2 linked regions of the Pelodiscus sinensis genome follow. The protein of the gene in region 2 purifies or fractionates together with the protein of the main gene of each other region. This does not show direct contact. Links are inferred from orthologs where the notes say so. Each region holds a gene or a part of one and is shown on either strand. Other genes may lie near its edges.

Region 1 (3,745 bases), on a different chromosome or scaffold from region 2:
GTGGTCCAGTGAGACCCCCGACCCTGAGCCCTGAGCTTAGAATGGCCGTACTGGGTCAGAGCAAAGGTCCATCTAGCCCAGTAGCCTGTCTGCCGACAGCGGCCAGCACTAGGAACCCTGGAGGAGATGGACCGAAGACAATGACCAAGCCATTTGTCTCATGCCATCCATCTCCAGTCTTCCACAAACAGAGGCCAGGGACACCATTTCTACCCCCTGGCTAATAGCACTCCATGGACCCAACCTCCATGACTTTATCTCACTTCTCTTTAAATTCTGTTATAGTTCTAGCCTTCACAGCCTCCTGCAGTAAGGAGTTCCACAGGTTTACTATTTGCTTTGTGAAGAACTTTCGCTTATTAGTTTGAAGCCTGCTACCCATTCATTTCATTTGGTGTCCTCTAGTCTTTCTATTATGGGAACTAATGAAGAACTTTTCTTTATGCACCCTTTCCACACCACTCATGCTTTTATAGACCTCTATCATATCCCCCCTCAGTCTCCTCTTTTCTAAGCTGAAAAGTCCCAGTTTCTTTAGCCTCTCTTCATATGGGACCTGTTCCAAACCCCTGATCATTTTAGTTGCCCTCCCCTCTCCCACCCTCTCTCTTCCCCTCTCCCACCTCCTTTTCCCAGTCTCCCCGAGTTCTGTTCAATAAAGAGAGTTTCTATTTTTGAACACACGTGTCCTTTATTTTGTACATCAGGAAGGGGGGCTAGGGAGGGGTAAGTGGAAGGAGGTGAGGGAGGAATGGGGTACAAGCCCCCGATGGAGAGGACTGGGGTGGCTCTGCAGGCTCCTCAGAGTGGAAGCTCTCCTGCAGCCCCCCGCTTGACCCTCCTCCCTGGATGGCAGCCTGCGGCAAGTGCAGCTGGGCTGATGGCCGAGTGCTGTGATGTGCCGAGCGTGGGTACTCAGGGCACTCCAAGCCAGGACTGCTTTGCTGTCCCTCATCGAGTTAGACAAGCAAGCGGGGAACCCCTGAGAACTGTCTGTCCAGGGTGGGGGTTGGGTCCCTTTAAGCACAGCCCTCGGCTAGCCTGAGACATTCCTGAGTCCTAACCTGATGCCCTGCCGGCACTGCTTCCGGCCATCCTTAACCCTGGTTCAGGGTCCACTCAATGTGGACATGCTAGTTCGAATTGGCAAAATGCTAATTCGAACTAGTTTTAAGGTCTAGATGCAGTAGTTCGAATTAGCTTAGTTCAAATTAACTAATTCAAATTAAGTTAGTTCGAATTAGTGCTGTAGTGTATACATACCCCTTGTGTCTTTCATCTCTCCTCATATGGGAACCATTCCAAACCCCTAATCATTTTAGTTGTCCTTCTCTGAACCTGTTTTAATGCCAGTGTATCTTTTTTGAGATGAGAAGGCCATACCTATACACAGTACTCAAGATGTGGGCGTACCATGGATTTATATCAAGGCAATAAGATATTCTCTGTCTTATTCTCTATCCCTTTTTAATGATTCATAACATCCCGTTTGCTTTTTTGACTGCCGCTGCACACTGGCCTCTGCACACTATGTGGACATTTTCAGAAAACTATCCAAAATGACTCCAAGATCTCTTTCCTGATTAGTTGTAGATAAATTAGCTCCCATCATAGTGTTTGTATAGTTAGAGTTATTTTTTCCAACAGAATAAGTGTACAAGTGAAAAATGTGTACCTTGAGGCATCAAAACCCAACAGCATCCCACCAATTTTTAAGTGGTCCTCTGAAGTTTATGGTTAGGAGCAGCTAAATTTGTGCTCTATTTTGATAGTAGCAGTTTGGAGCCCAAGATAAAAAAAATAAGTAGGGTCCAGCTTTTCCCTTGCAAAGCACTTTCTGGAGCCCATTCATGCTTATCCTGGCCCTATCAGAATCTTATGCTTATTGCTACCATTTATTAAAACAATTCCGAAAACTAATTACAAAAGAAGTCCCATTGTGCTAGGGCCTGGCTCTGCACACCCACAGAGCCCCTACTCCTTGTGACAAAGGGCACAGCCTGACCGGCCGAGGTGCAGCAACCTAGCAGAAGGAACACAACGAGAGGACAGCAAAGGGCACAGGAGCGCCACATCTAGGTGTGCGTGGGGGGATCGCGAGGCAGCGAGGAGCTGCGGAGGGAAGCGCCGAGGCGCGGGCTGGAGCAAAGCCCCAAGCACGCCAGGAGCCCACCCTCGGCCAGCGCGCAGCGACGCCCGCACCCTCCCGCCGCAGCTCAGGGGTGGGGGCGACACTGATGAAGCCGGAGAGGGCGGGGCGCCCCGCGCGCCTGGAGCCGGGAGCAGCCGGGCGGGGTGTCGCTCGCTGGACTCGGGCTGACAAGCGACACCGGGGGCAGGCGGGCGCCCTACGAGGCAGCGGAGCCGGCTGCCCCCGCCCTGCCCAGCTGCAAGTAACTCAGCGAGCTGGGCCTAGCCGCCCCCCGCCCTGCCCCGCAGCAGCCTCCCAGCCGCGGCCTCGGCGGGGACAGAAGCCGCCTCTGCTGTCCCCGCGCCGGCCCGCTGCCCGCCCGGGCCCCGCTGCCGGGCCACGGGACCGCTGCACCGCGCCGCGCGCGGCACCTACCTACCTGACAAGCCGAGCCGCTCCACCACAAAGTGACGTCACAGCCCCGCCAGCGTCCCGTGAGTGTTGCCAACCAATCAGCGCGGAACTCTCGCCACCCGACAGCCAATCCACATGGACCCCGCCCCCGCGTAACACTCTCGTTCCAGCAACCAATTCCGGAGAGCGGAATGATCTACAGTTCCCGCCTCTGCTCCTAAAATGAAGCCAGGCGATTGGCAGAGGAGACTCATGGGCGGGGCACTGGAAGACGTGGGGAGGGCGTGGCTCCCTTTTTTTTGCGCTGCCTGCTGTAAACGCTGATCATCCCTGCCGGGCCTAGGGGTTAGTTCGCGGTGGGGATCTGGGTTCTAGTCCCGCCCTGCGCGATTATGCGCTTGAGCCCGGCTTTGGCTCTCCCCCGCCGGCCGGGCAATGCGGGCGGATGCTGTTATGGCTGGTGGGACCGAGTTGCTTTGTGGGGTGTCCCCCTGGAAGTGTTTCCCAGCAGGAGCAGTGTCTAGGTGCCCTTAGGCGAGCAGCTGCCTCTCCAGGTGTCTCGGGCCTGCCCCGGAAGGCGGAGATCGCTGCTGGGGCTGCAAAGAGTCGGGGGATTTCATGTGTTTGCCTTGCCCGTGGTGTTCTTTTTCCGTGTGTTCAGAAAAAGTGTCAAGAGGGTTAAAAAGACTGGGAGGAGTAGCCCTGTTAGTCTGGAACTTGCAAAGCAACGTGTAGTCCTGTGGCACGTGGCAGACTGACACAGCTGTTGTATATAGGAGGGGATGGAATCGCAGTCGGTTAAACGATAAACAAATAAGTGAAAGCTTATTGACCAATGTTACTGACTACACGTACTTCCCCCCCACACCACCTCCTTCAGCTGTGCCAGTACATGTTTCAAAGGGTTGGCCAGCAGCCTGGCTCACTCCCAGTTCCTGCCAAGTTCCTGGAGCTACCCCCACAGTGGCTCTTCATGAGAAGTCATTAGGGAGCCAGCAGGCAGGCAGCCAAGTTCAGTGCTAGCTGGTGCCAGATCCTGGGAGCTACCACCAGCTGCAGCTTTGCAATGAAGTTATTAGTGCAGAGCCACAGTGGGATGAGCCCCTGAGACCCAGCCAGAGCCAGGTCTGAACCATCCTGCCTACTCATTGGCTTGGCAATTGCTGCAGCCTGCACAAGCTGAGACTGAGTGTTTGCAGT
Region 2 (3,745 bases):
GAGAATGTTACTGGGAGACGGGGCCAGAGCGACTGTGGGGAGAATGTTACTGGGAGACCGGGAGTGGATTTCTGCCAGATAGCTTCCTGGGGTCGCACCTGAGGGCAGCAAGCCCTGGGGTTTCCTCTAGGATTCACATTCCCGACTCCTGACTTTAGGTCAGTGCAGCCAGGCAGCAGCATCTCCTCAGGCAGCTCCCTCCCTGCTCTGCGCCCCAGCGTCTGTCTCTGTACTAAAGGGCTATAAATCCGCCCTTCACTGGAGAATCACAGAGCGTCCGATAACAAAAATCACAGCTATGTCAGGCTGCAAGGGAGCTTGCCAAGTCCAGGCCCTTGTGCTGAGGCAAGACCAAGTAACCCTACACTATCCCTGACAGGCACGTGGCCATCTGCTCATAACCCCTCCGACGGAGGCATCCACGTGCCCTTGGGGAGCCTAGTCCAGAGCTTAATGGCACTTTAATATGAGGAAAAAAAAAACTCGACTCCAGACAAACTCCCTGGCTGTAGATTAAGTCCCTTGCTGCTTGCCCTGCTTTCAGTGGGCACAGCGAACAGATCCACCGGCCCTTAACAGCTTGTACGACTATTATCAACCCCCCCCCCACCCCCAGTTGTCTTTTATCAAGACTAAACATGCACAGGGTTTGCAATCTCCCCTCAGAGGTCAGGTTTTCTGACCCTCCTCCTCTGAACTCTCGCCAACTTTCCTGAGGGGTCACACCCAGAAACGGACACAGGACTCCAACCGAGGCTTCCGCAGCGTCACGGAAAGCAGGACAGCTACATAAGTAAAGCTCCTGTTAACACACCCCAGCCCGATACCAGCCCTTTTGGCAACTGATCACATTGTTGGTTCATATTCAATTCGTCATCCGCTCTAATGCCCACATGCTCCCTCCATTACCCCCACCCAGCCAGCTGGTCTGTTTTGTGCTGGGCACTTCCCAGCTCCTGCCTAAATTCAGCACTTCGCACTTCTCCTTAGTCCACTTCCTCTGTTGAGTCTCTCTCCATTCTCTACGTGTCAAGGTTGTTTTGAATTCCAACGGCCATCCACAGTGCCGGCAACCCCTCTGGGCTGGATGCTATAAGGGCAGTCTATGCTCATTATCCAAGTCGTTAATGAAACTATGGAACAGGCTTGCCTCAGGACCCTGCTAGATAGTACCCCCAGTTTGACAGCAAACCACTGACTACTCTTTGAGGGCCACCGTCAACCAGTTATCTTGTGGTGATTTTATCTAGACTGCCTGTGTCAAACCCTGTACCGCTCCCCTCTGCCCTAAGCCAGCATCTGTCAACAAGGGAAATAGGTTATTTGGCAGGATCTATTGTCAACAAAACCACCGGCTCCTCCCTCTGACCCAGGCATCCTCTAGAGATACTGTTTTGTCATTTGCTCCAGAATATTTTTCAGGTACTGAAGTCCCCATATTGAAGTCCCCTATACGTACTATGCAGGATGCCTGCTTAAGGAGAAAAAACCCTCTGAGTACCTGCGAAGACAAGTTTCCAGGGGGATCGCCTCCCTTACTGAACACCCTCAACTCCTGTAGGAGTGTCTGCTCCCACACAGAAGATCTACCTGATACAGAAGCAGCAGCGTGGAGTGACCGGAGGCTCCTCGGGAGCAGGCCTGGAGCGCAGTATCCCCCCCCGGGGGACTATCAAATAGTCGAGTAACCAATAAGAATTCATGAGGTTAACTGACTATTCAATGAACTGATATTTCACATCGCTAGGCCTGATCTGACAGAACCGTGGCATGTCCCAGGGGTCTCAGGCCTAGAGGAGCCCCACCTGGGAGAGCCACTCACTAGGCTGGAGAGATCAGAGAACCGATTCATTGGCACCCAAGTCCATTTGCTATTGCTGCCCATTCCTGACTTGGAGGGAGGCTGCTCCTGGCTTGATGCCGCTCAGGGTCAGACCCAGCTTTCCCATGAGCCCTCTCCTCCAGCATCGTAGGGGTGAAAGTGGGACGCCTCCTCTGCCCCGCTGGAGGCAGGGCTGCGGGGAGAGGGCACCAACCCAGAGGGTATTGAGAAGGGACTCTAAGGAGAGACGATATGTCAGTGCTCCCCTCTCTCAACACGCCTCTGCAATCAGGTGAGGGACCCCGAGAGTTAGACGTCCTGGGGGCCCAGCCCCACTAGTGCAGGCTCCCCACGGGAAGAGCCCAAAGACAGTGGGTTGGGAGCCAGGGTGCCATTGGGATGGGAGGGGAGCCAGGCCTCAGTCGGAAGGGGGGGGCTGCCTCCAACGCAGTCCACCCAGGAGCAGAGCCTGCCCCGGGCTGGGGACTGCTGGGGCCGGCGCCTCCCGCTGGGGGCTCTACGAAAGGCCTGGGCTCGCTGAAGCCAAGGGACCCCCCGGGCAGCATCCTCTGGGCACCACGGGGGGGGGGCAGCACGTGGAGCCCGGGGCCCGCGGGCCTGTGCGAGCCCCCCCCCCCAAGCTCCTCCCCCCGCAGCCCCGGGGCCTCAAGCAGAGACTCGCACGAGCCAGTTTGCCCCCATCGCACCCTGGCTGGAGGGGCCTGGGGGGCTCCCCAGGGGCGGGGCCCGGTCGCCATGGGAACGGGGGGGCTCCCCAGGGGCGGGGCCCGGTCGCCATGGGAACGGGGGGGCTCCCCAGGGGCGGGGCCCGGTCGCCATGGGAACGGGGGGCTCCCCAGGGGCGGGGCCGGTCGCCATGGGAACGGGGGGGCTCCCCGGGGCGGGGCCGGTCGCCATGGGAACGGGGGGGCTCCCCAGGGGCGGGGCCGGTCGCCATGGGAACGGGGGGCTCCCCGGGGCGGGGCCGCACCTGGTGGCGCCAGCGGAAGAGGCTGGCCGTGTCGATGTTGGGGTGAGTCTCGTCCTCATCGTCCGACACCTCGATGTGGTCCCAGACGCTGTAATCCACCATGGCGCCACTTCTGGAACCCTCCAGCCTCCGCACGCCCACTTCCGCCCTCGCCCTGACTCACTTCCGGCGCCCGTCGGCGGGAAGGCTTCGTACGCGCAGCTGCGCGTGCGCGCCCACGCCCCGGATACGCATGCGCAGCAGCGGCTGGCGGCTCCACACGTTCAGCGGCAGGGGCACGGGGGCGCGAATTCTGGTCCAGAGGCCGTTTACTGCGCATGCGCTCCCCCTTCTGTGCTCCAAATGGCGCTTCTCTTAAAGGGCCACACACGGCCTGTGTCTTCAGGGGTCAGCGGGTTGCAGGCGCCCTACCTGCTGCGCGCGCACGCGGTGTGGGAGGGGCACGCCCAGGGTTACACGCCCCGTGGGCACCGGCCTGGCCCCCACGTGCCCCGCAGAGGCGGTACCGGGTACCCACAAAACAGCAGGGCCACGCACGGCTGGGGAGCTGCACCGTGCACCCGCTGGTGCCCCGCTCGTGCTGTTCTCACGCTCACTAGCTGGGGGCTGTTCGCACGTTTGTGGTCCCTGAAGGGGTTTGTGTTTTCAGGGCTCTCCCCACAACCCAGCGCGAGTCGGCTGAGAGTCCCCGTGTTCCGATCACTGGGGGCTGCAGACGGGGCCAGACTCCCCAGCAAATCCTGAGAAAGGGAACACGCCTCGCCCCAGCGCGTGCCGTCTGCACAGCGTCCGCTCTGTGCACCACGAGTGGGTGCCCTGCTAATCGGCTGGATGGCATTGGAATCTCTTCTGGGTGGCCACCCAAGCGCTCAGCTAACTGGGAACACTGGTCCGGAGCAGGACGTAAAAAAATGGTATAGCTCAGTATACAG

Evidence for each region.
Region 1: the proteins of CDC37 (region 2) and FER purify together in Homo sapiens (affinity purification with mass spectrometry; 3 studies listed by BioGRID and IntAct, with this or other methods). This does not show direct contact. The link is inferred for Pelodiscus sinensis from reciprocal best matches to the Homo sapiens genes CDC37 and FER.

What each region holds. Positions count from the first base shown.
Region 1 is NC_134716.1:63,688,339-63,692,083, forward strand, and holds the start of FER (tyrosine-protein kinase Fer), read right to left. Parts: upstream 2,695-3,745; 5' UTR 2,571-2,694; intron 2,502-2,570; exon of another isoform or gene 1,676-2,501; intron 1-1,675. UniProt on the Homo sapiens protein: Tyrosine-protein kinase that acts downstream of cell surface receptors for growth factors and plays a role in the regulation of the actin cytoskeleton, microtubule assembly, lamellipodia formation, cell adhesion, cell migration and chemotaxis.
Region 2 is NW_027465991.1:191,913-195,657, forward strand, and holds the start of CDC37 (hsp90 co-chaperone Cdc37), read right to left. Parts: upstream 2,974-3,745; 5' UTR 2,916-2,973; coding exon 2,814-2,915; intron 1-2,813. UniProt on the Homo sapiens protein: Co-chaperone that binds to numerous kinases and promotes their interaction with the Hsp90 complex, resulting in stabilization and promotion of their activity. Inhibits HSP90AA1 ATPase activity.